Linked DNA regions of Drosophila melanogaster. The protein of the gene in region 1 interacts with the protein of each later gene in a pairwise test. Each region holds a gene or a part of one and is shown on either strand. Other genes may lie near its edges.

Region 1 (7,669 bases):
TTTTCAACTCCCTGCTTGTGTAAGCGACTCGAATGCGATAGAAATCGAAAGCTAATGTGCTATTTAAGGTGATTGTTAAAACCACATTAGTTAAACGTGAAAATACACCGCTGAATATTCGTTGCCTTTGGATGTTTGAAGCGCATTATTAAAAGCGTTCTTGGCCCACACCGAAAATTTCTGACTAAAAATACAAATATTTTATGTCCATAAACAGAAAATGTTTCGCATAATAAATCATCCAGCAATAATATATCATTTAAAATGTGAATCTGAATGCACAAAGCAAGCAACTAAAATGAAAATAAACAAGTCCACTTAAAGCGCGTTTGAACTAAAAGGTGTATGCAATATTTTACCTATAATATATATATAAAATTTAACGTTGGTAAAATAAACTTCTGTAACTTAATTATTATCATTATGAATTCAAGCCACTGCAAGTAATTCTCCGTTTAGCTGCTTCGCCCAGCAGAACTTGATATCGAAGTGGTTTCATCAAGAGGTCGGTAAATGAGTTATGAATCCTTGATATCCTTGACGCCTTTTCGCTTGACCTGGCGAAGGCGAGGCCACCTGGCTACGAAATGGCCAGGACATCGGCGGAAGTCCTCCCGCCCTTCCGTCCCTCGACCCGCACTCCAGGACTTGTCTCTGACCCAACTGCCGATGCCACCTGTTTGGGTCTGCAAGCTGTCGCCCCTCAGCTGCTGAAAGTTTGGTGTTTTATTCGGTTTCGGCTTTAATGAGGACCTCCGCTAAGCCGCTCGTGGCACTTGCCACTTGAGCAGACGCCGCAATCGGAAGTCCTTGTTTATGACATGGATACTGAAGCCAACGGCCAGCCAATATCAGCTGCTTTGCTAACCGAACTTGATTTATATCCACCAATTGAGACGATCTCGTTTGGGGTAAGTGATGTTTAGGCCTTAAACGGATAGCTCTTTACTCCGATGCCAACTAATTCGCTGTGCAATCATTTCGGTACAACCAAAGCGGCCTTAACAGGCTACCACCACTTAGTGGCAGGCCGTCTAAACAAATCATTTGAGCGCAAACTTCATCTCGGGTGCCTGCAACTTGATAGATGGCATGAATAGAGTAGCCCTCGCCTTGCGCTTCTCTGCCTCTTTTCGTTTTTTATTTATGGTTTACAGCTACTATTTATAGGAAATGTGCTCAGCACGCAAAAAGTCAGTCGGTGCTTTTTGCACCGAGGGGGAAGTCGGAATCGCAACCCACTTGACAGACTTCGCTGCCATCCGGAGCAGATGCTGATGCAGATGCAGATACAGTTGCAGATGCAGATACAGATACGGATACAAACCAACACAAGTGCAGCTCGAGGCGAGTGTGTTTGGGCGATCCGAGCTCCAACATTTTTGTTTACAATTGGAGCACGTCTGTTTTGGCTGCGGCAGCTGCTGACCATTAGCCATTAACTTGCAGCCGGCCGCGCTGAGTCCGCAATTGCAACTCCATGCGCGTACAGGCCGAATTACCAGGGCAGAACTCGAAAGATTTCTGTTTGTGTTTGGAAGATTGTTGCAAAACATTGTTTCATATTAAATATGATATGCTTTTGTTTTCAATTCCGTGGCATATAATTACAAGTTCGACGGCAAGGGCATCAAATATTTTACTTTAAGCTTTTTCGATGGGCCGTCATGAACAGTTTCGTAGGCTCTACTGTATTTGAGCTGAACAAACACTGTTACTTCTGTAACTGGAGCATACCTTCGCTGCGACTTCATCTTCATCTGGAGTCTGGTGGACTGGAGGAGAGCAGGGGACCTGCATCCGAGTCTGAGCTGCCCTCCCTCAAACTGGGCTGGTGTGTACTTTTCACACGGCTGTGTGAAAAGCGTGCTATGATACCATTTTCATGTCCGCACAGTGCTGCACAAATATTTAACCGTTGGTCAGAGGAATGCCACTTAGCTACAAGATGTAACTTTTTGTGCCCCGAGGACAAACTTTGATACCCTTCAGTCAGAACGGAGAATGTTCTAAGGAGCCAAGCAATTTGACTGGGCTTTATTAACACCTTCGAACAGATCTTTCGGCTTCAATGTGAATACAAAACCAGTATCAATTTGTTAAACGGCGACCTCTAATTAGGGCCTGATTCATGAATTCTTAATTGACCGCCCCGGGTCACATGCAAACATAACTTGCCGTGCTCCAACTAATTAAATTACTCTCAAAAAGCAAACAAATAAAATTGGTTCCGCATTTTTCGCTCAGATTTTCACAACTCTGCGAGTCCGTCGTCCATCAGCGACATCGACTCATCAAGTTCATCTATCAAAGTCTAATGAATTTTACTGGCGCATCAGTTGGTTGGTTTTTTCCTTCCTTTTCATTCGCAAATTATCGAGCAACAAAAAATCTGTTATTTATTTTTGTTTTTCGCTTCGCTGATGATAATTTCACTTTCATTAATAATTTTTGGACTTTTTGACTTTGTCATAATTAATTTTTAAACTTTTGCTTTTCTTTGTTGTTTCTGTGGGGTCTAAAAAACATCAAACCGAAGCAATCTACGACTTGCCGGAATGGAATATCTCGCCTGAATGTTGAACTTTCTTTCACCTTTTCAGTTTACATACTGCCAAAGTTCAGGGCTTATTTCCTGGATTTAGTTTCGCCAGACTTAAAGTTACAAAATCGATCCTGTTAATCGAATACTATAGAAGGAGTCTTAAGGTCTACCTATTAAAAATGCATCAGCTTCATATTGATTGTTGTGGAAACTGTTAAGGTAGTACAGTTTTTGAATTTTCTTGTTGTTTAGTAACTAAATAAACTACTAATGCCGTTCTAGCGTGAACACATATATACATACGATTACTAGCTAAAGTCTTCTGCTTTGAAAACTCCCTGATTTATTACAAGTCCGTAAACTCTAGCCGTGCCTCGCCCTTCAACTTTGGTCATTTATGTAGCTCTGCCCAAGCCCATCCGGCGTCGCTCGACCGCGAATCCCCATCCCCAGATTTCCATGAGGAAACCCACATGCCGGCAAAGTCTAAGTCTGATTGGAAACCAGTTTTCCTCTCTCCGAAAAGAGCGAGCCGCAGACAGAACTAGTTCGCCCGCTCACTCGCCCACGAAGCGCCAACCCACACCCCCAGTGGCTCCATTATGAACGATTTGCGTTTTCCCAAAATCCATTCACCTAACATTCATACTATTCACATGGTATCAGATCAGCTTGGCTCATTTCAAGTTGAATTAAAGTCCCCTGTAGAAGATAAGAAGAGAGAGAATTTTATAGTCAGCTTAAAAAAATTAAATATTAGTTATCAAATTATTAAATAACTTGCTAACTGCAAGTATCTGCGTTGCTTTCCGCTGATCAAGCTAGCTATAGTTTTTTTCTGAGTGCAGAGAGGCGAGAGCGCGAGAGCCAGCTCACACACACATACAAAACAGGTATCTGAATGCGACTCCTCTCAGCGGGTTAGACCTCGCAGACGCTAGCCGTGCGGCTTCAGTGCGTCTGTAAACACTGCCGAGTGCGGTACTCAATCTACATTAGCTCCGCTCGAAAATTTCCAATTCTTAGTGAACTGGCTAACGGTAGCGAGCCTATTCGAACGAAAGTGAATGTGCGTCCAGATCTAAAATAAAATTGGTACGAAAGCCAAAGGAATATACATATGTACAAAAAGTGAACAAATTCGGATAGAAACTCAAAGTGCAACGCTAAAATAAAAATCAGTGCAGCTGCTTCCTGAGTGCACCTGTTTCCCCAGCAGGGAGCACGTACGCATACGCACCTTTGGATACGCGAAGAAATGCGAAGTGGCGTAGAGTGCTTGATAACTTAATGCCAAGCAGCCAAAGGGCCCTAAAAGCGGCAGCCGAAGAAAAACGACGCGACCTTGTCTTGTCTTCGCACTCCGGACTTCTTATACCGCCATCCATCAAAGTCTCGGGCCTTAAGGTCTTGGGATTACACACAAATCACATTTGGATACTACAAATCATACGCTAGAAGGTAAGCGCCCGATCGCTGGTCCAGTTTTCGCTCTTCATCTAGAAAGTTTGATTGCTAGACGAGATCTAGTTCGGTCGATTGGGTTTCTTCTCGCCTTGGCGAAAGTCCAGAATTTTCACAGCCCACTCTCCTGCACTCAATTATCGAATTGCGCGATTAGATCCAGACAGTTTCGCTGGCCAGAGGAGTTGATTGAACCCGCAACGGTAACCAAGCTGTTGGCCAGTCACTTCCTCCATTCCCGAGGTCATCTAGGGGGATTACAATGCAAATACGGAATTGCTGAGCATCATTGTCCGGTTCTTGGCCTCCGACAAGTGTACATCCGTGGATCTGCAACTCGACAATTTGCTCAGCATTTTTTTGAATTTTTATGCAAATATTTCAAACTTCCATTAGAGGGCCACACAGGCGGACATAAGACCTTCCCAGCTATTTTGGAAATGCATAAACATTTCATGTAAATTTCTTGGTCGAGTGACTCTCTTAATTAGTCGAGTTGCTTTGTTGGCCGATTATGAATGACACAAACTTTGGGTCTCGACCAAACATTTGATTTGATGCATATCTTGTAGATTTCTGTGAGAAAATCCGTCTCTGTTGTTTCAAGCTCAGATGAATGATATCACTCAGTTCGGTAACAATGCTCATTGGGGATTTTCGATTAACAATGCCCCCCAATCGGATACACATGTGTATCATTTCATTTGTCTTTGCTGTGCTTATTGTCAAACTCCTTAATGTCAATTCCACATAATATCATCTAATGAGGAGTTGCAATAATAAGTTAGCATTGTCCACCAGACGGCGGTGTAACCATGATTACGAGTGGGGAAAATCCCGATGTCCAAAAGCGGTTGGTTTTGATTATAAAATTGCTAGCCTGAGGTGGTGGTTACCATCACTTTCTCGCAATTTTCAACGCAACCGCAGAAAAGTATTGATATCGAATTAATTTCCTGTCCTCTCGCACACAGGAGTATTCGGTCTGGAGCATTGTTTTCCTGTGGACACTGAGGGGCTAAAGATTTCACATACCAAGCACGTAGCCTCAGACCGTTTGGCCCAACTTGTTGTCTTTGTTAGGTTCTATTTGGCTAATTAAAAATCAGGAAATGCACGAGTACAATACGCCCCAGAGGGCTCAACGTGCTGCGATCCCATCCTGAATTTCAGAAGACTACGTGAGAGAGGGATTACCTTTTTGGGCCTACCTGCTCGTGTGCTACTGTCAAGTGCGGTTTCCTTCAGTTTAGCGCCTTCTGCTTCGATTTCGGAACAGGTAGTACCACCAAATCTGTGCTTAACAGAAGTATCTTGTATTGGGCTGGATACGTGAGCCATGAAAGGATATTCGCCTCATTTAGTCTTCACATTGCACACACGTAGTACTTGCGAGGGGCGTTTTAAAAGGAAGTAGTTCTATTGATTAATCGATGGCAGGAAGTCGAGGGTGGTCTGCATCAGGGATCGTTTATCTTTCGCTGGAGATCTTGGCACTAACATCTCAATTCGCTTTTATAGTTTTTAGCCATTTTCTATCATATTTGTATTTAAGAGCTCCATTCCAGTGAATGGTTGAACAAACCATTTTGTATAATTTCCTCGGTAATTTATGCGTGGCTTTATAGCTTGAGGAAGTTGCTTGACTTCCATATACAGTTATGTACATTCAAGTCTATTGTTTCTTCATCTAACCAAAGACACACCCGCACTGGCAATAAAAAGACAATAGCATTTGTCAATCGACATAAATGTGCGCTAACCGGATTTTTGCGTACATATATGTAAAAGTTCTACTCTAAATTATTCCGGCTATAAAATAAAACAATTTATTTTACTGCAATTTTCCTAAGCTATTTTATTTTATTTCACACCCGAAGTCGTACATTCTCTTGTTGATTCTTAAATTGATTTACAATTTATTCGAGCGTTGGCAACACAATTTGATGTTGGAGCTTAGCATTCCGAAATATTCAAAATTCAATTGAAATGAATGCTGGCCCGAATCGGGGGTTTTTTTCGGTTATATATTATGCACTGCAGCCTCGTTTAACGTTTCTCGCTAACTCGGCTAAATTACAGCGAAAATCGTACTGAGTCAGCGGCTTCAAAATGGTAAATTCAATAAACAAGTTCAGCAGCGAAATGAAAAAATAATATACGACTTCTTTAATATAAATGATGGCACAAAGTCAGCAAAAAACTGGAAGTTGGCGCTTTTACTCGTGGTTTTTCTCTCAGCCGCTCTCGGTTGATATTTTTTTTTGTTGACACTTCGTTTTGTTAACAATTAATTAACAAAAAACCAAGGTACACAAAGCCTGTTAACTGTTTGTTTGCGCACGGCAACCTGTGAGATATGGTGGCGTAAAACAATTATAACGCCTTATGGCATCTGGTTTTCTCTAGCACTACAATGTATAATTCGAAACGATTAGGCATTGGGGAATTTGTGTGTTAAGTGATTCCGTATTGATTTGGCTTTCAGCGAAACTATGTAGTATTAGTCATAAGAAGCAAATTTGCATTGTAAATGGGTTACTGCGAAAAGAGCTTAGAGATTAAGTTGTACTGATGATCAGTCTTCTTATGATAGGAACATCTTGTCTTGGGAAATACCTTTCACATTTTAGTAGATTGTCCTAGATTAATATCCCTTTATTACATTATATAAGCGCAGGTGTCTTCGCTGATCCCCATACTTTGCTTTACGAGCAGAAAAAGTTCATCTGGAACTTTCTTCTGTCCAATTGAGTTTCTTCACCTCGCTTTTATCACTTTTTCCAGCAGTTCAGATGATCCATTAGGGTCAAAAGCTGGGTAACCTTTCGCTATGAACCGAGCAAAACCTCGTAAAACTTTCATTAGGCCGTAAATCTAGCTGCGAAATGTATCTCACAGTGGCCATCTTATCGGCTGGGAAATCGTTCTCGCCACTGACTTTCCACCAACACGTGCCTCTGTAATCCGCCCACCTGAATTGGCGACCGATTCTCACGCCTAAAAAGAAAAGCAAACTTACCACTTCAGTTCGCATTTGTGGCTGTGGATGTTGGCCCAAACCGCAAGTGATTTTGTTGCTGTTGACTTTGCAGTGGCCGGATGGTTCTGCGCCTCCGATTCCCAGCAGCTATCCTGGGACAGGAATTTGCTGGCTCGGACTCGGGCTTAATGCACTGTGGGAATGCGGAATGTTGGGAGTCCCAACAGTTGATTGACTCACCACTGCTGTGGGGATTCATTAACTGACCCTGCAAATGCAGCTTTTACTCGCCTTTAAAACGCTCGTAACCCCTCGATTCCCAGCTGGTTTTGACTACCTGGTAATCAATATGCGTGTAGCACCCATTCGACGGGGGCAAAAAGAGCTAAAGGCCGGAAACTCGCTGGATTAAAGCAAGTGAGGATTATACAAAAAAACAAAAAAAAACTCTGTGCTGAGCCACTGCAAAAAAAGACCAAAAAGCTTGCCCACTTTGGAGCTCTATTTGAGCGTTATTAATATCCGCACATCAGTCAGCGGCACAGCGGCTAAATACAAACACTTGGCCCAAAAGAAATCCAGGGCCCAAAAACCAGAGCGCTCGTATATAAAAAAAAAAACAACTACATTCTTCACACAATTGCACTCTTTGCACATCTCCTTTATTCCCTTCCGCT
Region 2 (10,408 bases), on another chromosome or scaffold:
TTGGTTTTCCTATTAGGCAGACAAGGAGAGGAGTAGAAGAGTGAGAGAGCGGGAGCGGGAGAGGGTGAGATCGTTCGACTCTCCGTTATGCTGCATCCCACTCGCACACAATGTACAGCTAGCAATGGAAAATTGAAATGGAGAAGAGTGTTTTAGAGAGGGAGGGGAGAAAAAGACGGTTATCTATGCCAGACATAACTGTTAAGACACATCGACGCAAAGCGCACACACACACACACACACTAGCAGACTAGACTAGCTGACACTTTACCACAGCTTTAGTTTTTCCGTAATCTACGGCTTTTCTGGGGCACTTACATTTTGAACACGGTTCTAAACGTCTTGTTTCACGCGCTAAAAACGGTTAATTTTGATTTTCAAACAGCTGGACGCGACGCGAACTCGTTTCTCGCCGTGTAATTGCCGCTGCCACTTTGGGAAAACTCTTACAACTACCGCTTTTCGGGGGTTGTTGTTGCGGCTCGGGGTTTCTTCTGTTATTACACGGGCTGGTACGTTACGTGTTGGCAATGCGCGATTTCGAGTTGGTCTACTGCCCGTGCTGCTTCCTTCATTACAACAAAAAAAGTTACGTTTTTTCAAGCAAACAAGCCAAAGTGTTACCGTTCGTGGAGTGACTAAAACATACCATACATAATGCGGGCCTACTTCTATGGAAAATACTGAATTTCACACTAATATACTGTATTTATAGCAAATCAGCTGGTCATAGCCGTTGGGTTTAAATGTTGCAATAAATTTCTAAAAATTCTTCTTTACTTATTGATAAACATCCGCCCAATAGGTGAAACAAAACTCTTGAGAGCAATGACATTTTGTTCCCAGCTTTTGTTGCATTTACTTGGGACGCAAAACATTTAATTCACTTTATAGCAAACCATGCCAGTGTGACCATGCTATATGGTCAACCATAATTATCGACACTTGAAAAAATGTCTTACTTTAAAATTAAATTTGATTATGAGAATCCATATGCTAAATTGAATGAAAATCCAAAAACCCATAGAATTATGTAAAAATAGATGTATTTCAATTGAAAATATTTCGCGATGACATGAAAATGACTTGCAAACGCAAGTGGTGAACACCTTACAAGCGAAGAACAAAAAAAAAAATTAAATGATAAACCTAAAAATATTAGCTTCTCTCGTGTTAGCCTAACTTATCAACTATCTTAGACAACATAGCGTAAAACAGTTAAACACAAGAGACGAGATAAAAATACTTTCCAGTCTGCCGTACACTGAACGAAACGATTTAGTTAGAAAAGAGAATATTTATGTTGAGGAAAACTTTCGGATGTTGGAGAACTTCTTACTTTGGGCGATACAAAAAATATATATATCTATATATATATTCCTATGTACTTTTTGCTATTTACTAACTTCGACTTATAGCTACACTATGAATTTGTTTAATTGTTTAGGCGTAGGTATAAATGTATATATATCAATATATATATTTTTTTTTATGCGGCGGCTTATACAGTTTTTTATATATACATTTAAAAGATGTGTGTGTGTGTGTGTGTGTTGTGCACATAAAAAAATTGGTTAAATTATGCAATTTTGCGTTTTCAGTAAAGTAGTATACTAGGATCTAAAATTTTCCGTTGCTTAGGATTTGTACTTGCAAGTTGCTCGCATGTTTCGTTACAATCTAGCCTAGCGCCTTCGCGTGCCGACTGTGGATGCGGCCAAAGATGCTCCTGGTGGTCCCGCTGCCCCGCCTCCAGATCCCGGTGATCCCGCCGCAGTCGCCGCCCTGCTCCTGTCACTGTAGCAACTGATGGCGGTTATCAGATTGCCAGAGTTGCCACTGCTGCTGCGCAACGACCACCGCTTGTTCAGGTGATCCGCCGCCGCCGCCAACGCCGCCGTATATGCACGCGTTCCAATTGCCAATGTGGGCACGGCTGCATTCAGTTTCTTCGGCGAGGGCGGCGGACGCGCAGAGATGGCTCCATTGCAGGCCTGCAGGCGATTTGATTTCACATTCGAGGGCGACCCACCAGTGCCCACCAGCCCACTGCCGCTGGCACTGCCACTCAGAGTGCTCCGTCGCAAGCTCATTCTTTGCTCCCGATCCTCATGACTGCGTTTTAGGCGCCTGGCTGGCGAGGCGGTAGTACGCGATCCGCTTCCCCTGGACGTGATGACCGGACTGGCTGGGCTTGTGAAACCGGCTGGACTGCTGCCTCCGCTGGCTGGCGACGAATTGCTAGATGGCGTGGCTGAACCGCCCGACAAAGCGGGTACATTCCTTGTCCTTAGCGTGCGCTTGGTCATGTCCAGGTCCATGCCCAGACCGACACCGACACCCACACCCAGGCCCAAGGTGCAGAGACTGCTGCGCAGCTGCCTTTTGTTCACACCACCGCTGGCCGTCAAGGTGTGACTGCGGCGGGTCATCATCATGGAACTGCTGCTGGGCACAACTTTGCTAGCGCTGTTTCCACTCGCATTGGCCACCACATTGACGCTCCGCCGACTATTGGCTGCCACCGCTGGACTGCTCCCACCACTGGCCGATCCTCTGCCGCCGCCGCCGCCACCGCCCCCGCCTACACGCCCAGCTGCAGGTGTGCCAGATGCTCCGGCTGTTCCTCCGACCGTTTCGGTGCTGTCTCCATAGGCCACAATCGCCGCAGCACTGGACTGTATGAAGGACTTTGGCTTGACATGCTTGAAGATCTGACGACGACGCGTCTGCATGTGCTGATGGTTCTCGTTGGGCACGTTGCGATAGCGTCGGATTCGGGGCGCGGTCATAGATCCTCCCAGTCCACTAGATTCGGTGGGCAGGGCGTCAGCCATTGTGGAATTCGTCACGGCCACTGGTGTTGCCTCAGAGTCCTGAACCTTTTGAATGCGCTGGAATATATAGTGCACGGCATGGGCATCCTCTTTGGGCATCTCGGCCACTGTATCTAGCACAGCAACCTGTTTGGTCTCTTGCTTCTTCGGCAGCTTCTTTTCCTGCTTGGATGGAGGTTTTTCGACCGCGGTTAGCATCTCCTGAACCTTCAGGGGCTCCATCTTGTCCACAATCTGCTCAGGCTCCACATGAGTGGGTGTGGCGGGCAACGTGGAGCTCACTTCATTGTCCTGCAACTCTTGTTCGGGTTGAATTACTATGTCTATTACTGTGGAGTCCAACTCCTCCTCGTCTTCTTGTAATGTAGCACACCACTCGCTGGCTGTGGCGGTGGTCACTGGGTAAGCAAATTCGTGCTGTCCCGAACTACTAATGGCCTCCACCTCCATTTGCTCCATTTGCTGTTCGCGCTGCTGCTGCTGCTCCAGGGCTACCTGCTCCTCCTCGGCACGCTCCTGCTGCAGTAGAGCATCCAGCTCGAGCAGCTCAGCCGGCTGCTGTGGCCACGATTCGGTCAGCCGCTCCCTTTCACGTCTGGTCTCTAGTTGCGTTAGCGAATAGCCCTCTTGCTGCTGATAGTGCTGCTGCTCCTGGATGATCTCCAACATGCTGCGGTCCAGCACAACGGATGCGGAATGGGCAGTGGTTTGTTGTGCTTCTACTGCTGCTGCTTCTGCGGCGGCGGCTGCTGCTGCTGCTGAACGTGAGCGTGCCTCCTGCTCCTCCTGCTCGTTTAACAGGGAGTTGTACGACTCGGCGAAACTGTAGCTACTCTCCAGATGCTGCTCCAACTCACTCAGCTCACGATTTTCAGCCGTCTCCGCAGGATCTATTGAGGACTGGGCTATGCTGCCGCCATAATTGGTGCCCTTGTCAATGCTGGTGTGGGAGTACATGTCCAGTGTTAAGACATCTATTCGATCTGGTTCGGGATCGGGTTCCGGTTCCGGTTCGGTGACGCCACTCCAGGAATTGTTGATGGTTGACTTGCGCCACGTTTTTCTGGGGTTGAACAAACTTTGCTGTAGAATTCCCACCGATTTGGTTTCCTCCTCTTCCTCCTCCTCCTCCTCGTCTTCTTCCACTGTTTCCTCATCTTCATCCAACTCGTCCTCGTCCACATCGAAGTAGTCGAAGTTGCGGAAGGCTTCCGGAGGCGAATGTCGCTTGGCCAATGCACTGTACGGCTGGTCCAGCACATACTCATGCTCCTCGATGAGAAAGTCAGGGTAGTTGTTCTCCACATCCAGTGTCGGCAGCTCCTCGTCGTCCTCCTCCAGCAGTAGCTCCACCTCCAGATCATTGTCGCGTGCCATCGCGGATGGGGAACGTGTTGGCGTTGTGGGCGAATTATTGCGGGCCGCTGGTGTTAGTATCACAGTCACAACGGACGTGTTGTCCGCACGCATCTTCTTGGCGGCCCAGGTTTTGAGGGCCTGATCCACCAGCGCCTTGCTGGGATTCATAACGTCCTGCTCGTTGAGTATCTCGCCGATTAGATGCTCCTTGCGCACACTGTCCACCGCCTCCTGGGCGGTCACCACATTCCACAGGCCATCGGTGCCGAAAATTAAGCATCTGCAGGCAAATTATTCAATATTAAGATGTCCAGCAGTTTAGCTAATTAATCAGGATCACTTACCTAAAGGTACTGGGATTTATTTTAACCACTTTGACATCCGGATCGGGACTCACAACGAATTCCTTGAAGCGGGAATTGTAGCTCCAGAGATCGCCCAGGGAACGAGCCACCGCCAAAAAGGGTATTTCATCTACCAGAGTTCTGCGGCGAATGGGACCGCGATGCATTGGGTCCCTGGGTCGGTTCCATACCACTCGCGGAACTCCCGATTTGATGGCAACATTGCCGCCGGAACGCTGGATTCTCGTCTTCTCTGCCAGTGACTCCGGCTTGTGGTCCGTGGTCAGTGGACGAGCACGCCAGTTGCGTTCGCCCTTGTTCTGGTAACCCAAAACGATCCCAGAATCACCCACATGACCAATGTAGATCTTCTCGCGACGCATAAAGGCCACTGTGGCGGTGGTGCCGGCGGTGCTCAGATGCCCATTGGCAGTGCGTGGCCATTTCTCTGCGGGGTTGGGAAAGGATAATACCAGATTTTAGAATTTTCCATAATTCCAACTTAACTTATACGTTATCAAAGAAGAATTAAGCCTTAACAAAAAAAAAAAAAAATGGTTGTGTAAGTCATAAAATTTCCTTCATTTTAACAGAAAACCTAAATAACTTAATGAAATTATAAAAAATGAATAGGGTAAGGACAAAAAGAAAACAATACCAAATCGCTTTAAAATTCTGGATTTTCCCAAACAACTAAATACAATTTCTACTTATATTTATATATTTAATGAGGCAATGAGTAATAGCATTTAAACAGCCACTTTACATGATGCAAGCAGTTGAAAAAATCATTTTCTAAGGCCCCTGGATTTTTGGCGCTTAACTGAATATATTGGTATATCGAAACGACGGATATTGATATTTCCCACACAGATACACACCTACAAACGTGTATCTGCGTTTCTGGCATCCCTTGAATTTCTGTGTACATTGTTTTTGTTATGCGAATAGGAAAATGGGCACACATTTATTTTCTTTTCTCTTTGGCCACCTCTCGCTCTCTCACTCGTTGCATCTCTTTCGTTCTCGCATTTCGAAACGCCTTGGTGGGCCGCGCCGCCATACGGACGTCCCGCTCTAACTCACAGCGGGGTTGCCATGCTTGGCGAGAGTACAGCCATATGGCAAGTCCGTGGAATATTCCACTCGCGATAACTAAGTGTGTGTGTGCATTTGTATCTGTATCTGCTGCTGTACTTGTATCTTTTTAGTGTGGGCTGACAATAGAGATGAGCAATTGAGCGATGGTTGAGTCATCGCCACACACGGTTGCATAATTACCTAGAGATGGGAGACCCAAGGGAGCAGCTCGAAACTTGAGGCAACTTTTTTTTGTGTGGGTGGGGGGGTGGTGCGAAACGGCAACCCTGACAACGGGGACTTACGCGGTTTGAATGCCGCCAACTGGCAGTTAATTCAGTTTTCGCGCATCTCTAACGGTCGCTTGGCATTGGCAACAATTTTGATATGAAATTGCATGAGAGAAGGCACAAAAACAAATACAAATACAAGTATATTATATTCTCTTTTTTTCGTATGATTTAAAATCTTTATGCCAACTAACTGCTTTCTTTGGGTTGTCTCAACTGTAAGATGGCTTAGTTTCCCAGCTATTTCTTGCTCACCTTGTTCCCGCCACATGGCGAAATGTGTGGCGATGTATCCCTCGCGTATTGCCCGCAGGACATCCTCATCCTGATCAGACCAGAACTGCTTCTGCTTGACGATCTCGAGCATAAGGTGCTCCTTGGCGAAGAGCGCGGCCTCGGGACCGCCGTGTCCGTCGTAGATGCCAAAAAATGCGTATTCCAGTTCGTGGGTGATCGGTGATTCCTGGTAGGCCACCGAGAACTGATCCTCCATGTATTTCCGGCCTCCCTGGCAGCATTGTCCAGTTACGCGCATATTGACGCCCAGGGAGGAGCACGGCGACGGATTGCCGGTGGATGCGCTACTTCCTGTAGCGGAGCTGGAACTGGAATTACTGTTGGAACTGCTGCTCGAATTGGAATTGCTGCTGCTGGCACAGCTCTCTGGAATCGATCGCGGTGGAACGATGGCCGCCGACCGGCGTAATCGACTCTGTGCCGCTCCGCCGCCCCTCGAGCGATTTATTGTTGTGGTTGTTGCTGAGTTTAAACGTTGTTTCTTTGGATTTAAAGGCTTGGCTGGTGATCCCCCCTCCATATCGACGACTATATCCTCGGCATATGCTTCCATCTCGGTGAACGCCAGGTCGGGAATGGGTATGCTGATCCTCTCTGGCCTTTGCTCCGGCTCTTCCTCTTCCTCCTGTGCGACTCCTACCGCTGCCGGTTCAACAACAACAACATCACTGCTGGCATCCAGTGCTGGATGGCATGCACTGTTATTGTTGTTATTGCCGCTGCTGCTGCCGCCGTGGCGAGTAACGGAGGCTGTGGCTGGAGCTGGTGCTGGAGTTGTGCCGCCGTCGTCCCCATAATAGTTAATAATATCAAATTCCACGGACGACTCATCTGAGTCCTGGAAAGTACCGCTATTCGCTGCCGTCTCTCGCAAACGGACTACCGTTTTTTCGATGGCCGTATTGATGAGGCATCTGTTGGTGGTATTGGTAGTGGCGTTGATTGTGTTGGCATTTGTGTTGGTATGGGTGCTGGTGCTACTCCTGTTATTGGCGGGCAACATCTTCCTGCTTCTCCCTCTGTTATTTTTTGTGGTTTTCCCCCGAGTTTTGTTTATGCTGCCTGCTGCTGCTTCTTCTTCTTCTGCCTTTTAGACTTCTCCGTCTCGCAGTGTTGTAATTTCCGTTGACATTTGGCACTCTCACACACACGTACAACGCAACACAACACAAAAAAACAATAAAAAATATATAAAGTACAAGAAGAAAAAGCGACTCAGGCCTTTCTCTCTCCCGCTCTCGCTCTCGCAGCCCTCGCTGTGACGGGCAGTGCAAGCGGGACGACTATCTATATGATGTATGTAATTTACGTTCGCCAACGAGCTTGCGTGTATGCGTGCTCCATCTAGCGTATTTAGTATTTTGTGTTTGCAACTGGCCGCCAAAAACCGATGAATTTCCTTTAATTTGCACCAAATCGAGGATTTATGAGTAGATTGTGATTTCTGCTTTTGCTTACAGCAATAACGTTAAAAGACATCGGTCTTTTATCCTCGATGAAAGACTTAATGACCAAGGCGCGCAGTTTTACCTTGATGATTTGTTGTTCGCCAGCATTTTTTGCCGTTCGATTCTGCTCTCGACTTGCGAACACTTTTCTTTTTTTTTTATTTTAATTTTTTTGGCTGTCAGCACGTCCACATCCACACACACAACAAAATTCACGGCAAATTGTTTAACAAAAATTATGTTGAAAAAAAAATCAAATAGAAAGCGTGTGACCGTTGTGAAAGTAGGTCGAAAACACCACGCTCCATAGGCGATGTATAATGCTGGCAGCACACCAATCGATAACAACGAGGACGGGGTTGCAATCGATGAATGTATTGAGTGCATTATTTTTAAGATTTTCGTAATTTATACACTTATTATAAGTTGTTATAAGTAAGTTTTCTCTGGCAATTAAAATTTGTTCTAACATTTAAAAGCAATAAGTTTAATAAACAATGTCTGGTCTCCATAATGAATTATGATAATCATAATTGAATTCACAATAAGCTGTTTAAAAAAAGGTAACGATTTTCTTATTGCACATCTCATTCAAATACATTCATATAGCTAAAGTCGTATGTTTATAGCGATATATATGAATACCACAAGTTACGGATAACTAACGAGATTATTAAGAATACAAATATTATTTTGGGTACTGTATATTTTCAAACGTTTATATCATTTTATAATGCATTTTTTGACAAACATATAATTATAAATGTTTTCATTTATAAAAAAAACTAATTGTATCATTATTATTTTACATATGCTTATTTTAAATTAGTTTATTACTTGACGCAATAAGTATGTCAATGAAAAAAAATTTGGAAACAAACTGGTTGTAATTTATAACATTAAAGATATGTTTCATTATCCGTCTCAGCTTTTATATTCTCGTCAGTTACATGTCGATTTCTTTTGAAACTATGTTGCATCATACAAAATTTAATCGAATGTACAATGTATGGCTTGGATTTCTTTAACATTATTATTGTAAATAGTTTTAATTACTTGCAATACAAAAAATATGTTTTTTTTATCGAAACACCGCTAGCCAGCAATAGTAATTCTTTTATATAAAATTAAAAAAAAAAAATGTATACATAGATGATAAAATAAATCGAGTGCGTGCGATAAAATAAATTGATATTTGCGATAAGCTAAATCGAATGCACCCGAAAAGTCAGCTGCTTGTATCGTTTAGAACTCCTATATCAGTGATGTCCGTCTTTAAATTGCATTCAATCGAATATTGAATACCGGTTATCGAGTGCAGGATTTCAGAGAACATATTTGACTTTCAACAGTTTTACGCGGATTTTAATTCCATACTCGACAAAATATTCCCCCGTTACTAGTCAATTATTAGCATCCCTACATCGGTAAGTGTTATCGAATCGATAATAAGCATCACTGGTGCCAGACGTCGCCCGCCAAGCGTGGCCTGCCAGACGCGGCCGTGTTCTGGCCAATCAGAGCCGCCTACGACTCGTATGTTGGAGCTCGTCGTCCGTCGTGTGATTAACCGAAGTCGAAAACCGAAATAGAAGCCGTCACTCAGTTAATCACCAGCAAGCAAAACGTTCAGTTGTGTTTCAGTTGTCGAGAAGTCAGGGTGTTTCTACCTTCCATTTACCGTTCCAGTGTAAAATTCAGGCGACACGCTTAGCGGTAAAAAACCCACACATCCACGCACAATAAAGTATATTGGGGCAAATGTTTTTTCAACCCGGTTCCTAGAGATCTTCTGAAAAAACAATTCCCTATCTACTGTTCTTTTTTTTCTCGTTCTCTGTTCTCAAAGTGAAGTAGCCGCGGCGTGCTAAATTTGTATTGCGTGCAAAATTGTTAAAAAAAAAAATAAACCGAAAGAGAAATAAGCAAACACATACACACGCATTCCGCATTTTTCCTGCCCACAACTTTTTTTTTTTAAGTTCAAATTTGGTATTGCATTAGAATTTATTTGGTGACAGCTGTTGAACTATGAGTGAAAAAATCGCGCGCAATCAGGAAAAATTAAAAGGTAAGTCATAGAAAATACCTAGCAAAAAACAAAAAGAAAACGCCGTGTGAATGTTCTTGAATGCAAAAGCAACGTTATGCATTTTAATAATGCGAAAAGTTCCCGTGGTGCAAAATGTGTGGGAGAACACAGAAAACATTTTTTTTGTCAGCTTCTGGCTCTTATTTGGAGCTACGCTGATATCAAGTTTTCGGGTTGACGTCATTTTAATTATGCATAGAAACGCAGGTAATAGTAGAAGATTTTGTGATTTTTTGTCAGCGGTTTCAGCAGAGTTTTCGCAACGTTTTTCGAGAACAATCGGGCTAATGATTGATCAGCTGTCGAAAGTTTCAGTTGTTCTTCCCTTAGGCTGTGTGAAAATTGCTAATTAGAGTACAGTAGAGGTTCGGCGAGGGAAGCCGAGTGTAGTCCTGCATTGAAAATTCGCGGGTTTCCAATTGCAAACGGGAAATTCAATTACCCAGCGTGTATGTGCAAGCGGCGCGTGTGTGTGGCTGCGTGAATGACTAGCAAAAAGCGTTGCATAGTATCAGGTGCAGGGCCCCGTCCAGTCTAGTATATATATATATATATAATAATATATGTATATAATATATCTATAAAAAATATACATAAATATATATAAAAAATGAATGACTAGCAAAAAGCGTTACATATTAGCAGGTGCAGGGCCCCGTCC
Region 3 (7,440 bases), 2.4 Mb from region 1:
ATTGGGTGTGGGAAACTTGTGGGCGACAAACATTGTGACCACAACGCGTCGCGTTTCGTAATTCTGGCGATTAAGGGCGACCACATCCAGACTTAGATCCTTGCCAGCCGACGATGCTGGAGGAGTTCCGTAGAGGAAGCCGGCATGGTATTCATGGCTATACATATATCGCATCCAACTGGGCAAATCGGGATAATTCTTCAGCGAGGGTCTGTAGCGAAATTGCTGGCTGATCACCTGGTGTGTCCAGTTAAAGAGTTGCGGTTCGATTTTGTAGGTGAAGAGTTCTCCAACATTTGCCTGCAACTTTAGACCCTGAACTTCGTTGCAGATTAAAGCTAATACGACCACTATTAAGTTTAAAAACTTCATTTTGTATTTTATGTAGTTTTTTTTTTACGATTCACAAGCACATTTTAATTGACTATAAACAAATTGTTATTCCGCCCAGCGCAGAGGCGATGAAAAATTCCAATGGTGTGTATCTGAATGGGAGAGGACTACGTATATTCTCAGAACTTGTTGTTTTTGAATTTCAAAGAGCGCGCATGCGTGTTTCGATCCTTAAGCAGAGATATTTGTGACTAAGGTCAGTTTTTAATAGTATTTATAGGTTAGAATTGACTAAAATATATAGAGTAACTTATGTTAACATAAAAAAATCAATCAGAAAATGTGTTTTATAAAGTCTTGTACCATGAGTCCTATATCATATCGTAGTTTTTGATTTATTATTTAAAACTACATACTTAACCTATATCTACTTAATATTCGCAAGCATAAGAAAGTTTATAACCATTTTAAATTGCCTTTTGTTATATATTTTATTTTAATTCAAAATCATAGAATTCTTACTGCGATAGACCATTAATCGATATCTGCGGTGACTGTGAATGAGTCACTGTTTTGCGGAGAAGTGTCATCCCTAAATTGAGTTGACAACCCTAATCAGCTGCGGCATTTCGGTCTAAAATTCTTGGAATTAAATACGTGGCTCTGTTTATCTCGCACAAATTGGAGAAGTAATGTCTGCTGGCAGGTAGCAGGCGCACCTGTTCATACAAACTAGTTGCTAAAAAAAGCCCTACAATGTGGACCTGCCTCTGCCAGCTCTGTTTCTATCTACTCTCGACGCTTGCAGTCGCTGCGCTGTCGGTCAGATCTTGAATACATTCGCCTATCTTTCTTATTTTTACTGATAATCCATCGTTTAGATTGCGGCTCTGGTGCTCTACAAGACGAAGCCCTATCCCAACATCAAGCGGCACAAGGATGAGGAGACCTTCCTGGACCCGCACACCATTAAAACAGTGACTTTTCCCAGTCTCGAGGACTCGCCAAGTTTGGAGCTCAGTGTCATCGTACCAGCTTACAATGAGGAGCAGCGCTGTATGTTGCTTATTTGTTTTTGTTTTGGTGAATCACAGTCAACATTTTATCTATGCCCATTTGTGATTGATTGTCTGGCACCCGAATTTATCTACAGAAACTTCATTACACTAACATGTTACTTTAAGTTACTTTCCCCAAAAGCTATTCGATTTTCTTGTTCTCATTTGTGTGTGTTTATACTCGTTTAGTGCCTTCTATGCTGGACGAGTGCTTGGCCTTTCTGGAACAGAAATCTGCTGGCACTCCCAATTTCACATACGAGGTCATCGTGGTCAGTGACGGCAGTCAGGATGCCACCGTATCCGTCGCCTTGGGTTACTCGAAAAAGCACGGAGCAGAAAAGGTACGCGTGCTGGAACTCATCGAAAATCGTGGGAAAGGAGGTGCCGTTCGCATGGGTATGCTAAGTGCACGGGGTCGTAATCTGCTCTTCGCTGATGCGGATGGAGCCACCAAGTTTCCCGACTACGATAAACTGGAGGTGGCCCTCAAGCAATTAGCTCCCGAATGGCGAGACGATGGCATTGCCATTGGATCGAGAGCACATCTGGAGAACGATGCGATTGCAACAAGGAGTTTCTTCAGGTAAGATAAAATCCTACATTTATTAGCTGACCAAATACTGATCTGCGTTGCCACAGAACAATTTTGATGCACGGCTTTCATTTCCTCGTCTGGCTGTTTGCCGTGCGCTCCATTCGCGATACCCAGTGTGGCTTCAAGCTGTTCACCCGAACGACGGCCAGGAAACTCTTCACCAGTCTGCATGTGGAGCGCTGGGCCTTTGATGTTGAGCTGCTGTACCTCGCTGAGAATTTGAAGCTACCAATGTCCGAGGTTGCCGTTCGATGGACGGAGATCGATGGTTCGAAACTGACACCATTTTGGTCGTGGCTGCAAATGGGCAGGGATTTGTTCATGATCTGGGTGCGATATTTGGTGGGCGCCTGGCGGATTGCCTCCATACAGAAGAAGGAAAAGTGATGTGGACTTGGAGGGCATCTCATTCCCAATATTAACTAGCATTTTGTGTCGAACTTACTCCGCTGTCGTGCATTACCAAAACTCTTTTAACTCTAAACTCTATTTTTGTAGGCCTGATAAAGTGTAACGAATTCTAGCTAGTTAAGTACTTAAGTACAGTATTTTTTCAAATAAAAAATAATTGATTTGAATAAAATTGCGCGGCAATGGTTCTAAATTGTTAGTAATCTAAAAAAAGTAACTATACCAAGTCGTCTTCCTTTAGTATATTGCGCTTTAAATATATAAAGTTTCGTCACATTGCTTGTTTAATTTTGGAACGAAGAAATAATTAAAATCACTAGTTATTTTTTTGAAATATTGAAATACGCGGGAAAATAAAATAAAAGGCAGTATGTGTGGTATTTTGTATTCTTCTGGTATTTTAAGAGTAGTTATTTTCATATCGGTGTATCTCCCCACTCGAAGTGCGGTCACACTGCAAAGAAGTTGCGGCGGCGCGTTTAGTTTCGTATTAAATCGTTACTATTTAATTACAGTTAATTAGTGTAAACAAACCAATCAAACATAGATACAGCTGCCACGTGAATAAACGGAAAAGATTCTAGTTAAAGCGTAGGATCGCGAGTGCAACTGCCATGGGCGCCGCTAAGTAAGGAATTCCAGGAATCCTACGTTGCGCCTGTTGCTCCTCTCCCGCTCTCCAAAATTGCGTGCAGGTGTGTGCGGGTGTCTGCTCGTCTGTGTGAGCGTCTCAGCTGTGCCTGCGTTATATATTGTTTATAAAGATTTTTTCGCAGTATGCAAATGCTGAACAAGCCGGTCGGTTGATATTTCGTATTTACTCTCGTCGCCGCGCAAACGAAAGTGTTTTGTTATTGTTGCGTTACCCGTTGCGTCTGCCCCCTCCAATTGGAGAATTGTGATTTGTTAGTGGTGTGCGCTGCTGGTGTTGTTGTTGTACTTGCTGTTATTGTTGTTGCTATGCGGTCGGGTCATTGCTTCAAATTGCTCAATCAACGGCACTTGTGGTAAGCTGGTGAACTGGCACAGTTATCAATTTTATTCCTCCTTTCCGTCCCCTTTTTATCGCTATCGAATTACATACATACTTCTTTTGTTCTTTGTCTTATCAGCATTTATTCAATTGCCCAGCAAGCTGCGCTTGAAACTATTGTATTCTGATAAGAAAGGCGAACTCTGTGCTCGACGCATTCTAATCAGACGCCCTTGCTTTTGCATTTTCTGAATGCATTTCATTTTAAGGCATCGTGCAACGCAAAAAAAAACAAATCAAAGTTAATATAAATAATTATGCTGTGCTGATTTTATTAATCAGCTTATGGCGACTTTAGCTTAAAGTCACAATAGAAACTAATTACACGAAATTTTTTGTTGTTGTAATAATAACAAATAGAAGTACTGCTAAAAAAATATCGTTTACATAGTTGCTTAACTTATTTTAAATTAAAAATCAATCTTTTTGGAATATAAAGTAACTCAAAAATTGATTTCAAATTAGACTGAAATTCTTGCTAAGGTCGCAGATTCTCCAGTCTTCCTCTTCCACTAGAAAAAGCGCGACAATAAACAAAAATTAAATGCAAAGAAGAATACAAACTAAGCGCGACCATTTGCGTGGCGAAATTCAAAGTCAAAAACGAGTTGCCAGGCCACGCCCGCTATATGTATATATACATATATACTATATGTATGTATATTGATGTGCTTATAGCCCAGGTCTTTGGGCCTCTCGCTCCACCAAAAAGATTTATGTACACATTGCGCCTTCTGCCTTTTTGCCATCCTTTTTTTCCTTTCTGTGCCTCGGTCCGTGTTTATTTTATTACTTATGGCCATGCGCGTTGCGCTGAAGATTCTGATTCTCTCGCCCTCTCTTTTTACGCTCCGTTCGCCCATGCCCCCGCACTCCGCTCCTGTTTTTGTAGCGGCTCTGCTTGATTAAAGCGCGTGGGGGGTGGGGGGCGTCAGGAGACGGTGAGGAGGAAGAGTTGATCAGGAGATCCAGCCAATTGTTGTTGTCGCACGAGCATTTGTCGCCTTAGCTTTGTTTCCCTTTTTTGCAGACGCGTCCGTTCATGTTCCTTGATGATCAGAAGCGGATTTGTGAATCAGATAAAGAAAATCATATCGTCAGAGTAAAGAAAACTAAAACTTTTTTTTATTAAACAAACTCTTTTTAAAATCATCCTTAGTAAGATGTTTAAATAAATCAATAACTCAACCATTCCCGAATTCAGAGCACTTCGCTCCTGGAGTCTTCCTGCGTCTTGTTAGCTTTTGTTGAAGTGTGATAATGCCAGAGATCGTGTGGTGGCTGCTCCTCCGCTTGGAGCCACCTTTTCAACGGCCCGTTTGTTTGCGTACACGCTTCTCGTTTTGCGAAATGGAAGTTGTGGGGACAAGGTGGCAAGGAAATGGGGAATATGCCGCTTTGGGGGCTAATCCTTTAATCCGCTGTGCGCGACTTCAAGGTCAGCAAGTGATCTTTACTAGTGTATACCAACCTATATGTATCTCCTGTCTGCTCGGGGGCTAATTAATTGTTCGTTTAATCGTTCGATTTGCTGACCGACTCGTCTGTCCACTGGATTTTCCCTTCCTTGGCTCCACACTTCTCCATTAATAGGCAGTATACAGTATCTGTAAATGAATAACTTTATTTTCATCCACTTTTCGCCATCCCATACTGATTGATGCCAAGCGGAACGCCCACGGCAATTAGTCAACCAGGTAACTCCCAGTGCTCCAATGTTTTGGTGGCCCCATGTTCCACGGTCAATGCCTCGAGGGGCGCTGCAAAAAAGATTCGCACGCCCACGCCCACGCCCCCCAAAATAGATTTATGGCCTTGCCTCTGCAGAGTGTGTTGTAACCAATCTTTTTGGGCGAGCGCTTCTAATTTTAACCCTCTGTTTGCCAATGCGACATCCATTCTGACGTCCCACTAAATGGCCATTAAACTATTTAAAAATCTTTATTTTGCCAATGGGATAAATAAATGTATGATTAAATATTGTCTGTTCATACGTATGCATGGCTATAATCAAAGCACAGACAAAAACCCTTGGGTTAATACAAATATGTCTTATTTCGAAGGGTTAAAAACGTTTTGGCATGCGTGTAAATATTAACATTAACTTTTGGTTAGCTAATATGTTTCTTTGCTTTTCAGACACTTTTTCTTGTCAAGATGATGGGCACTAAGCATCGAAACTCGCATGTCAATGGCAGCATTAAGTCATCATCATCGCTGCGATCGAGCAGCAAATCCTTTCAAGCAAAAATGGATCTGATGTCCGAAAGGCTGTACGATGTCGTGAAAAGTGGATCGATGGTGAAAAGGGCTCAAAACAAGAAGCGTTTCACCCCCGTGAATTACAAACATCGATGGTTTGAGTTGACCAAGCGAACTTTCAGCTACTTCGATGTGGAAAATGTGGAGGTGAGTCATGCAAATTGCTGTACGCATTTCGGCCAACAGGTTTTATTTGGCCAAAACTAATTCAGCCAAAATAATGAATCGACATAATTTAAGCTAAATTAGCGAACACAAAATGAGAATGTAGATAACAGCGAAAAAAACAAAAATATTATGAGAAGCTGCTACGTATTTTTATTCGATTCTGATCGGTAGAATCAATAAATAGAGCTTATCTATTGGTAGATAATATGAAAATAATTCATGGATAATCTGCAAATGGTGTTATACATACTATAGCAATTATACACCATACTATAGCAATTAAGTAATTGCTAACTAATACTTCAAAAGATTCATATCTGTATGCTACATTGTATTTTGTAAAAATAATATGAATACGCTACTCAAAATGCACATCGGAGTTAGTCAGTTCCGGCTGACAATGAAAGATCTCAGGATTCGAAGGACCGGCAACTGGGCCCGCTTTGGAATTGGCCAAAATGGTGAATTGAGGAGGGTCCTTTCATTATGCATGTTCAAGTGGGCGTCTCATCTTGTCGTCGTGGCTACGTCATTTATTGCGTCGCTATTACGGCACCTAACGGGCTCGCAAAATTTTCACCATCCGGCGCCCGGGAAACTCAGCTTACTCTGCTCCGGCGACCGGCTGCATTCGTTTCAAAACAAATGTGGTTTTCGGAGGAAAAAAGTCTCCAGTGCGCTCGGCTTGGAACGTATATGTACCACCGTTCAATCCAGTCTCCGGCTGGAAAGTAAGCACTGTGGGGGTTGGAAAATACACACACAAAAGCAGCTGTTAGCCGGCACAATGTGTGTGGAAACCCACCCTCGACAGTCCTTGGGTGTAGACTACGGTGTCGTCCTATCCCGTTATGCCGTTCCAATTGGAAGCGGAGTTTCCCTTGAGTTTCCCTCTGAATATCCTGGATGAAGTTCAGTAACCGTGGCAGGAGTTTCTATCCTGGCCTCGTCGCGTGTGGACGTTCGTTAGATTTTCGCATTTAATATTTTATTAAGCCCAAAGACTGTGTTTTAGTTGCTTAAAAAAAATATATCTGATTTGCATGACATTTACGAATAAACACAAGTGTGCGTTAAAGTTTCGAGTAACGTGTTTATTTGCAATACTTTTCAAATTACAAACATTTTTCTAATGCGCCGGCCGCTACCCTTGAAAATTCGGTTGGTTTTCAGCGGTGAAGTGAAACCACCCTTATTTACCCTCTTACTAACTGTATTTAAACAAACTTCTATCTCTACTAAATCATATAAATGATTCGAAAAGTGCAGTGCATCCTACAAAGATAGCCGAAAATAGGAAAACACCCAAATAAAACATTTAAATCGCAAATCCTTTCCATGGCGTCGTTGGAAAATTTTTTGCGAATCTAACCGAAAAAAAAGAGAGAAGAAAACGCCCCACCCAAGGCAAAAGTTTTTCAAGTGTATCCAAGCGGCCTTTGTGTGCGTGCGTGGTGCGTTTGTGTGTGTGCGTGAGTCCTAGTGTTGTTGTCGCTGTTGTTGTTGCTTTTGCTACTTTTGCCGCACCCCGAATTTCGAATTTCGTGTGCCTGTGCCTAAAATTAAAAGGATTATCC
Region 4 (7,356 bases), on another chromosome or scaffold:
TCTCGTAGAGATCGCGACCCACCCAGGGTAGCGTGGAGAGCACAGCAAAGACGAACCAATCGCGACGCACCTGGGGCACTGTATCCTCGTTGGAGACATCGATCATGGTGTCCAGCAGCTGGAGGAGACTGGTGGCCGAAATGACGTGGCAATTGACCAGGTCGGCCAGAAAGCGCAGCGAGTAGCGGGCGGCATCCCAGCGGCACATCTTGAGGGACTCCTTGAAGGTCTTCACCATGTGATCCACGAACTCGCCGCCAAACTTGTAGTTCTTGGCATTGAGCAGGCCCACCAACGTGGTGTAAACGGTACACTTCTCTGGCATTCGCACGGCGCAGTCGGACAGGATGCGCAGGATCTTCAGGCGAAACGTGCCCAGATCGGCCTCCAGAACGGAGACGAGTCCCTCTAGGTTCGATTCCACGGAGGAGGTGCTACGCTCGCCCACCCGCAGTATCAGCGACTCCAGACGATCCTCGATCTCCTGGTTTTCGGACACACGTCTACGCTTGTTGCGCCGATGATCTGCAATTAAATGCCCCCATAAATGCTTTGCGTTCATGATTACATCGATGCCCACTTACCATAGCCCTCATCCTCCGTGTCGTGAGCCCTCCTGCGACTCATCTTCCCGTGAATTTTCTGTGAATTTTGCGGAAAACACCGATTACCGATTGGTCCTTGGCCACCGGCAGACAGAAAAGCACGCTGATGGGTACACCTCTTGGACCTGGACTTTTTCGGGGATCCTGGACAGGATACGCTTGACGGATGGGCCTTGTTGGTGCGTCTAGTATTTCACTGCGAGCGTCAATTAGCTTGCCAACTTTCAAAACAGCTTTGTCACAATTTTCACAAAAAACGCGATGCGATGCTATTTTTTTTTTTTGCCAAAGAACTAAAGATGTGCCGCCATCGATGGCAGGGTTTATCGATAACAGCGGCGGCGTAAGCGGCGGACTGAAAATGGGGCCTGAATAAACGTTTTCTTTGGCGCCATATGCGCAGAATTGCGGCATACTCAATTAACCAAAACATACCACTGACTGACTTACAATAAAAATCTGTTGAATGCCACTGCTACACAACTATCGATAGAAACGGTTGCCGGCAAGTGCTGCAATCTAGTCTTATGCTGCCTATCGCTTTTGCCCATCTATACATTCCACCGCGGAATTTTCCTTGCATTTTATGATGAGCTTTCCACGCATGTTATCACTGTGCCTTAGCGTGCTTGTAATACTGCCGCTTCCCCTCCAGTCGGTGGATCCCCTGACCATTGGTGCCGTTGGCGCCGTGGCCCTTGGGGCGTACTTCAAAGAACATACATATTGCCGGTTTGCCGAATGCTGCGATGACCGAAACATTCCGGCGAGAATAGATGGTGAGTGAGTAGTTTTGTATGCAACAAAATGACTAACCAGTACAGTGGGTAATTACAGAATTAGAAAGATCCCTGGAACGCACCCTCATTGGCCAGCACATCGTGAGGCAGCATATCGTCCCCGCACTGAAGGCGCACATCGCTTCGGGCAATAAGTCACGGAAACCGCTGGTCATCAGCTTTCACGGCCAGCCCGGTACGGGCAAGAATTTTGTGGCTGAGCAAATTGCAGATGCTATGTATTTGAAGGGCTCCAGGTCGAACTATGTAACCAAGTATCTCGGACAAGCTGACTTTCCCAAGGAAAGTGAGGTGTCTAACTATAGGGTGAAAATCAATAATGCGGTGCGCGATACCTTGCGTAGCTGCCCGAGATCTTTGTTCATCTTCGACGAGGTGGATAAAATGCCCAGCGGAGTATTCGACCAGCTCACCTCGCTGGTGGACTACAACGCCTTTGTCGATGGCACGGATAACACAAAGGCAATCTTCATCTTTCTCTCGAACACGGCGGGCAGTCATATAGCCAGTCATCTGGGTAGTGTGATGAAGAATGGTAGGCTGCGCGAGGACACACGACTGAGTGACTTTGAGCCCCTTTTGCGGAAGGCCGCCTATAACATGGATGGCGGTATGAAAAAGACCACCATGATTGAGTCTCATGTTATCGATCATTTCATTCCGTTCCTGCCGATGGAGAAGGCGCATGTGATCAAGTGCCTGGAGGCGGAGCTTTTAAGGTGGCGGCGCGATCCTAAGCAAGCGAACAACCAAAAAATCATTGAGGACATAATAAACTCCTCCATTAGTTACGATCGCACGCACAGCTTGTTCGCCATTTCGGGCTGCAAGACGCTGGAGAAGAAGGTGGCCATGGCCATTTACTGAGAAAGGACCGACCGACTCCACATTTTAATGCTTAGTTTGGGTTTCGGTTTGTATTTAAAAAACTATTTTTTCGGAATAAAGAAAACAAATTTTAACTACCAGGGATTTAGCCACTTGAGGCGGGCATCTTTGCGCAGCAGATCGGTATCCAGTCGCTTGGGCTGCTCGTCGTAATCCTGGCGAGCCGCCAGGCGGGTATCGATGGGTCCCAGGTCCTTGGTTACCAGGCACTCGCCGTTCTCCTTGAGTATCGTATGCCGGACATCCTGGGCAGTGGGCTCTCCGTAGGGGAACGTGACCGGCGTAACCTTAATTAGATGCTTGATCTTCCACAGGCGGGCATTGTTCTCCGGTATGTTCTTGACGACAGTAAAATCGCTCTGCTTTCCGTCTAGTCCCAGATCTTTGAGGATTCGATTCTCCCAGTAGGGATTGCCCTTTAGCGGCTTGATGCGCTGCACCCGGAAAAGTTTCGCCGGCTCCACGGGTGGATCCTGGTGATCGGGAGTCCTGAGCGGGATAGATTTAGCATTAACAAATGCTGGATTTCGTGTGTTTTCCTTTTATACACTGCACACGTGAATACGAACCTGGGATAGTAGGTGATACCCTCAAATTTCTGGCCATTTTTGTAGAGGAACTTCTTGTTGTGCTTTCCGTAGCTGCGCACCGAACATGCGGTGCTCCTCAGTGGATTCAGCAGCCTTCCCAGGTTCATCTTAATTGTTTTCCCCCCTTTGTAATAAAATTAAATGCAAAACGCTTATGAAATAATTGATGTTTCCCCGACGATAACGATTACACAGACATCTGGTTAACTAGTTGCCTATCGATGGGCAGCATGGATACTGCCGTTATGTAAACCAATGTTAACCGCTTGCTGTTAAGCGATACAATTCAAATGCAAAGGCGGCAAAGTTAAAAGTGATAATTTATCATGTACAAACTGAAGATAATTTATCATTTACAAACTGAAGATAGCGAAAACATTATCAATAAGATGGTAATATATATTCGTTGTTTTTTTTTTTAATATTTCAAGAATTAGTTGAGAAAAGAAAGTTTTTAGGTCATCGGATTACACAGCCTCCAGGGGATGATGTCCATTTCTGGAAAGGGGCGGTCTCATATCAAAATCTCCGCCATTTTGTCAGCTACAATTGGCGCTAATCGACGAGGGTGGATAACTTGGCATTGGCTGGCTTTCAACGCAATGGGGTTGTTTCCGATTTTGGTTATAAAGGAGGCTGCAGCTTCCCGACCGGAAGTCAGTTCCACGTGAGCATCCATCCGGCGAGCAACCGACTCTAGTGGCAAGCAAGGATATCTGCCAGACAACTCAAGGATCTAGAATAACTCTGCACCTGTGATAACTGCTGTAAGTTCAGGCAACAAAGCCCAAAAATTGTGAGCAATGCAAATGAAGTGAATGTACTAGCGAGTAGAATAATCAAATTAAAGATACAAATAGCTGAATGAAGTCTCTAGTTCGTTTAAAATTATATCTAGAAATTTGTTAATTAGCTAACTTGACCATGTGCACGCACTCGACATGTGTAAGTGTACTGGAGTTTCATAGTCTTGAGGGGACTTGAGTTACACGACAAGTTCTTAAAACTAGATCGGATTTCCATCATCCCATGGGATCAATAGACACGTCTTCGACTTGATGCAATTCCAGTGACACTTTTTGGACCCAAAACCCATTAAATCAATAGATATAAAATCATACGTTAACCGCAACAATACAAAAAAGGGTGGCCAAGCCTAAGGGGTTGGCATCGCTGAGGTTTGCCAACTCCCGCGGGCAAATAAACGTGCCGATTGTTCAGCTATTTGTGTAGGTGTGAAAATATGCTGCGAATAAACAATACACGCACAATGCCGACAATAAGCACAATAAGTACAATAAAAATAAATGAAAATAATAGCAAACGCAAACAGAATGCAGCGAAAAAGGGGTGTGTCCTTCATCGGCAAGGACGACACACACACACACGGACACCCTTCATCACAAATGTCCACAAATGAAGCATAAATAATTCGAGTGCAAGGATTATGATTTCTTCAACGCCTATTGTAACCTTTTTTTTTTCAATAGCATGAGCGCTCCACCGCAAAGGTAGCCACACTTTTCGTCTTCCTTGAGTTTGAAATGCAGATCTGTGAAGCAATCAAGTACACATTTCGTTGTATTCATAGTCTAAGCTGTGCATCCTCTTGCTTCCATTTCCATTTCCAGCATTCAGCAGCAGGCTGGGCAGCGCAAGAAAGTCCAGTGTCCAGCACCGAAATCAGTGGTGCAAATAGCCAGAGAATGGTCTACGATATGAGCCATATGGCGGCGGGTCCGCCGCAAAGCATTTCGCTTAGTCGCTACTATCTGGTCGACGATGATGAGATGATTGGGCCAAATAATCCGCATCTGGTCAACGAGGACTATGCGGCCAGTACGACGCTGGATATCGATAAGCGTTTTCAGGCGCGAATGGCGTGCGAAACGGCCGCACAACCGGCACCGCCACCGCCGCCCACGCCGGCGCCACGTCGCCGGACCACGCCCATTGCCCATTTGGATCCATCGGAATTGGTGGGTCTATCGCGGGAGGAGCGGCGTCGTCGCAGGCGAGCGACACTCAAATACCGAACGGCACATGCGACGCGGGAGCGTATACGGGTGGAGGCATTCAATGTTTCCTTTGCCGAGCTGCGCAAGCTGTTGCCCACATTGCCGCCGGACAAGAAGCTTTCCAAGATCGAGATCCTCAAGCTGGCCATCTGCTACATTGCCTATTTGAATCATGTGCTGGAGACGCCCTGAGATAGCGCCGGCGCCTCCAGTTTCGCCACCAGCTGCCTCTTTAACGAGGCCAATTTTTTCGCCCCCCCGTAGGAGGTGGGGGGGCGTGGCGGGCGGATTTAGGGGGAAAACATTGCGAATATTCCACATCCGATAAACGCATTTCACCATGCTCTGTAATCCGCACATCGCTCCATTGGATACTTTGCCGGTGGCGGCTATGGATAATGCGATTATCGAATTAGCCATCTCACCAACTTAACCGAAGTGTTCGATGGATTTTGCCGATTTGCTAACCTATTTAACCTATGGTTAAATACATACATTTTTTTGTTTTTTGTTTTTTTTTTTCCTTGCCACTGTTGAAAGACAAATGCCCGTCGTTTCGTTTCGATTCGTTTTTTTTTTTAGGCTTAGGTTTGTTTTCGTAGAAACAATTGTAAAGCCACGATTTAACCTAAGGTTAAAATATGCCCGTACTAAATGTAGAAGATATAAGCTATTAGTTTGTGTAATTTAATTGAAAAGTAGAAATATCGAAGGAAATAACAAAACTAAATATGCCAGTAGTACATACAATTAAATTTATGGGAAAGCAGTGCTTAATCCTCGGAGTAAACCTTGATCATGGTTTATATAATATAAATAACCAAGAAAAAAAAAACAGAACCTTAAACTAAGATCCATTTTTTGTCTAGCCTTTAAGTCGTGATATTTGTTTATACTCAAACGATTAATATATACAGCATTGTAATCGCAATAAAAAATTGTCTACTTTATGTATTTTGGCGCGCCTTTGCACGACACTCCCCTCGACTTTTGGACACCAGCTGCTCTGACTGAGTTTTCCATTTGTCTGAACGCTTTGCTCGGAAAAGCCAGATGCTAACAGTTCCCCCTTTTTCACCAACCTTCAAGAACCACGTATCCACGTATCAAAAGCGGGCGTGTCCTTTGCGCCAAGCCCCGCCCATTTGTGTAAAAGCGAAGTAGAGCAGCCTCTGTCATAATTTTCAAAAATTGAGGATACATTTTTATTTTTTTGTTTTAGAAACTGTGAAAGCGTCACGGAAATTTCGACTTTTGTGCAAAATTTCGAAATGGCCCTTCATTTTAGTGCACAGCAGGTAAGACAAATTTATTCTAGTCGATTGGGAGGCTGTTTTCAATATCCATAAATAGTGGCCTAATTTGGTTGGTACGGGTAACGGGTATATATATATATACATATATATATATTTGTGTGGATCCATGGATGTAAACATTTTCGCAATAATAATAACAACAAACGTGGCAATGGCAACCAACTCGATTCGGCGCCATCCTTTTCTATCCAGTGAAAAACGACTCCTGCATTCCGACAATCGGCTGTTTGTCCCTGTATGGGTGCTATTTTCATGGGTGTGGGTGTACTGGCGTTCATAAACAAAAACAAAGGCCAGGCGACAAGGAAGTTTTGTTGTGTGCATATTTTAGTTTTTACCAGTTATATATTTTATTCTTTATTTATATTTTTATATATTTTAAATTAACTCATTTTGAATGGCATGTGTTTCCTTTGCTCGAATTTTAAACTTTTGTTTATTTATTTTTGAAAATATATGTCGGGTGTTTTCTTGTTTTTGAGTGTCGTACGCATAACGTTACCGCTACCGCTCCGTTACCGTTTCCGCTCCCATAACCGTTTGAGCTCGCTTTTTCATTTCCTCCCCGCCCACCGCCCACCGCCCACCGCCCACCGCCGCCTTTGCACATTTGCAAATAGCGACAGTTAAAGTTTATTTACTTGGTAACGGTTACTTTGGACCAGAACCTTTGCCACGCAACTCGTTTTTGGGAGTCCACAGCTATTCGCCATATACACACACAATCGCAACGGAATCGGTTAACTGCGGTGGTGACGGAATTTCGAAAAGAATCTATTCGAATCGCACTCGAGAATCAATCGAAACGCCTGGCGTTAATGGTTTACCAATTGGCCAGGGCGACAGCTGTTCGGCCAGCGGAAATTGAAATTGGAAAAATTGAATGGAGCATTGAAAGAAGCAGAAGCAGGAGGCGGAGCACAATCCACAGGATACAGGAGCTTTGGACCAAAGGATAGTCGGCGGCAGAGCGTGAAATTAGCTTAAGTGCTTGTCGCCTCGACCAGGACACACCAGTGGATACAAGTGCGACATTAGATACGATACAAGAGTACCCGAAAGTAGAGAAGTACCTTCATTCTGGCGAACTTCTAGCCCAACCCCAGTGCCTCGGCCTAAACCAGCGATTCAACCGTGCA

Evidence for each region.
Region 2: the proteins of rau (region 1) and Pp2C1 interact in a two-hybrid assay, tested with the Drosophila melanogaster proteins (one large-scale study listed by BioGRID).
Region 3: the proteins of rau (region 1) and Btk interact in a two-hybrid assay, tested with the Drosophila melanogaster proteins (one large-scale study listed by BioGRID).
Region 4: the proteins of rau (region 1) and HLH4C interact in a two-hybrid assay, tested with the Drosophila melanogaster proteins (one large-scale study listed by BioGRID).

What each region holds. Positions count from the first base shown.
Region 1 is NT_033779.5:5,875,325-5,882,993, reverse strand, and holds the start of rau (rau), read left to right. Parts: upstream 1-3,495; 5' UTR 3,496-4,006; intron 4,007-7,669.
Region 2 is NC_004354.4:4,678,947-4,689,354, forward strand, and holds Pp2C1 (protein phosphatase 2C), read right to left. Parts: upstream 7,958-10,408; 5' UTR 7,211-7,957; coding exon 6,166-7,210; intron 4,989-6,165; coding exon 4,541-4,988; intron 4,477-4,540; coding exon 1,686-4,476; 3' UTR 1,042-1,685; downstream 1-1,041.
Region 3 is NT_033779.5:8,296,473-8,303,912, reverse strand, and holds the start of Btk (bruton tyrosine kinase), read left to right. Parts: upstream 1-3,166; 5' UTR 3,167-3,407; intron 3,408-5,572; 5' UTR 5,573-5,590; coding exon 5,591-5,842; intron 5,843-6,788; exon of another isoform or gene 6,789-7,440. Other genes in the region: Scgalpha (sarcoglycan alpha), read right to left, coding at 1-372; wol (wollknaeuel), read left to right, coding at 1,090-1,155, 1,215-1,389, 1,581-1,977, 2,034-2,376. UniProt on the Drosophila melanogaster protein: Required for proper ring canal development. Also required for the development of male genitalia and for adult survival.
Region 4 is NC_004354.4:4,643,601-4,650,956, reverse strand, and holds HLH4C (helix loop helix protein 4C), read left to right. Parts: upstream 1-3,542; 5' UTR 3,543-3,650; intron 3,651-4,514; 5' UTR 4,515-4,589; coding exon 4,590-5,093; coding exon of another isoform or gene 5,094-5,165; 3' UTR 5,166-5,830; downstream 5,831-7,356. Other genes in the region: Cbp80 (cap binding protein 80), read right to left, coding at 1-525, 585-627; torsin, read left to right, coding at 1,192-1,384, 1,443-2,272; mRpL30 (mitochondrial ribosomal protein L30), read right to left, coding at 2,368-2,782, 2,863-2,990; CG3062 (uncharacterized protein), read left to right, coding at 6,173-6,199.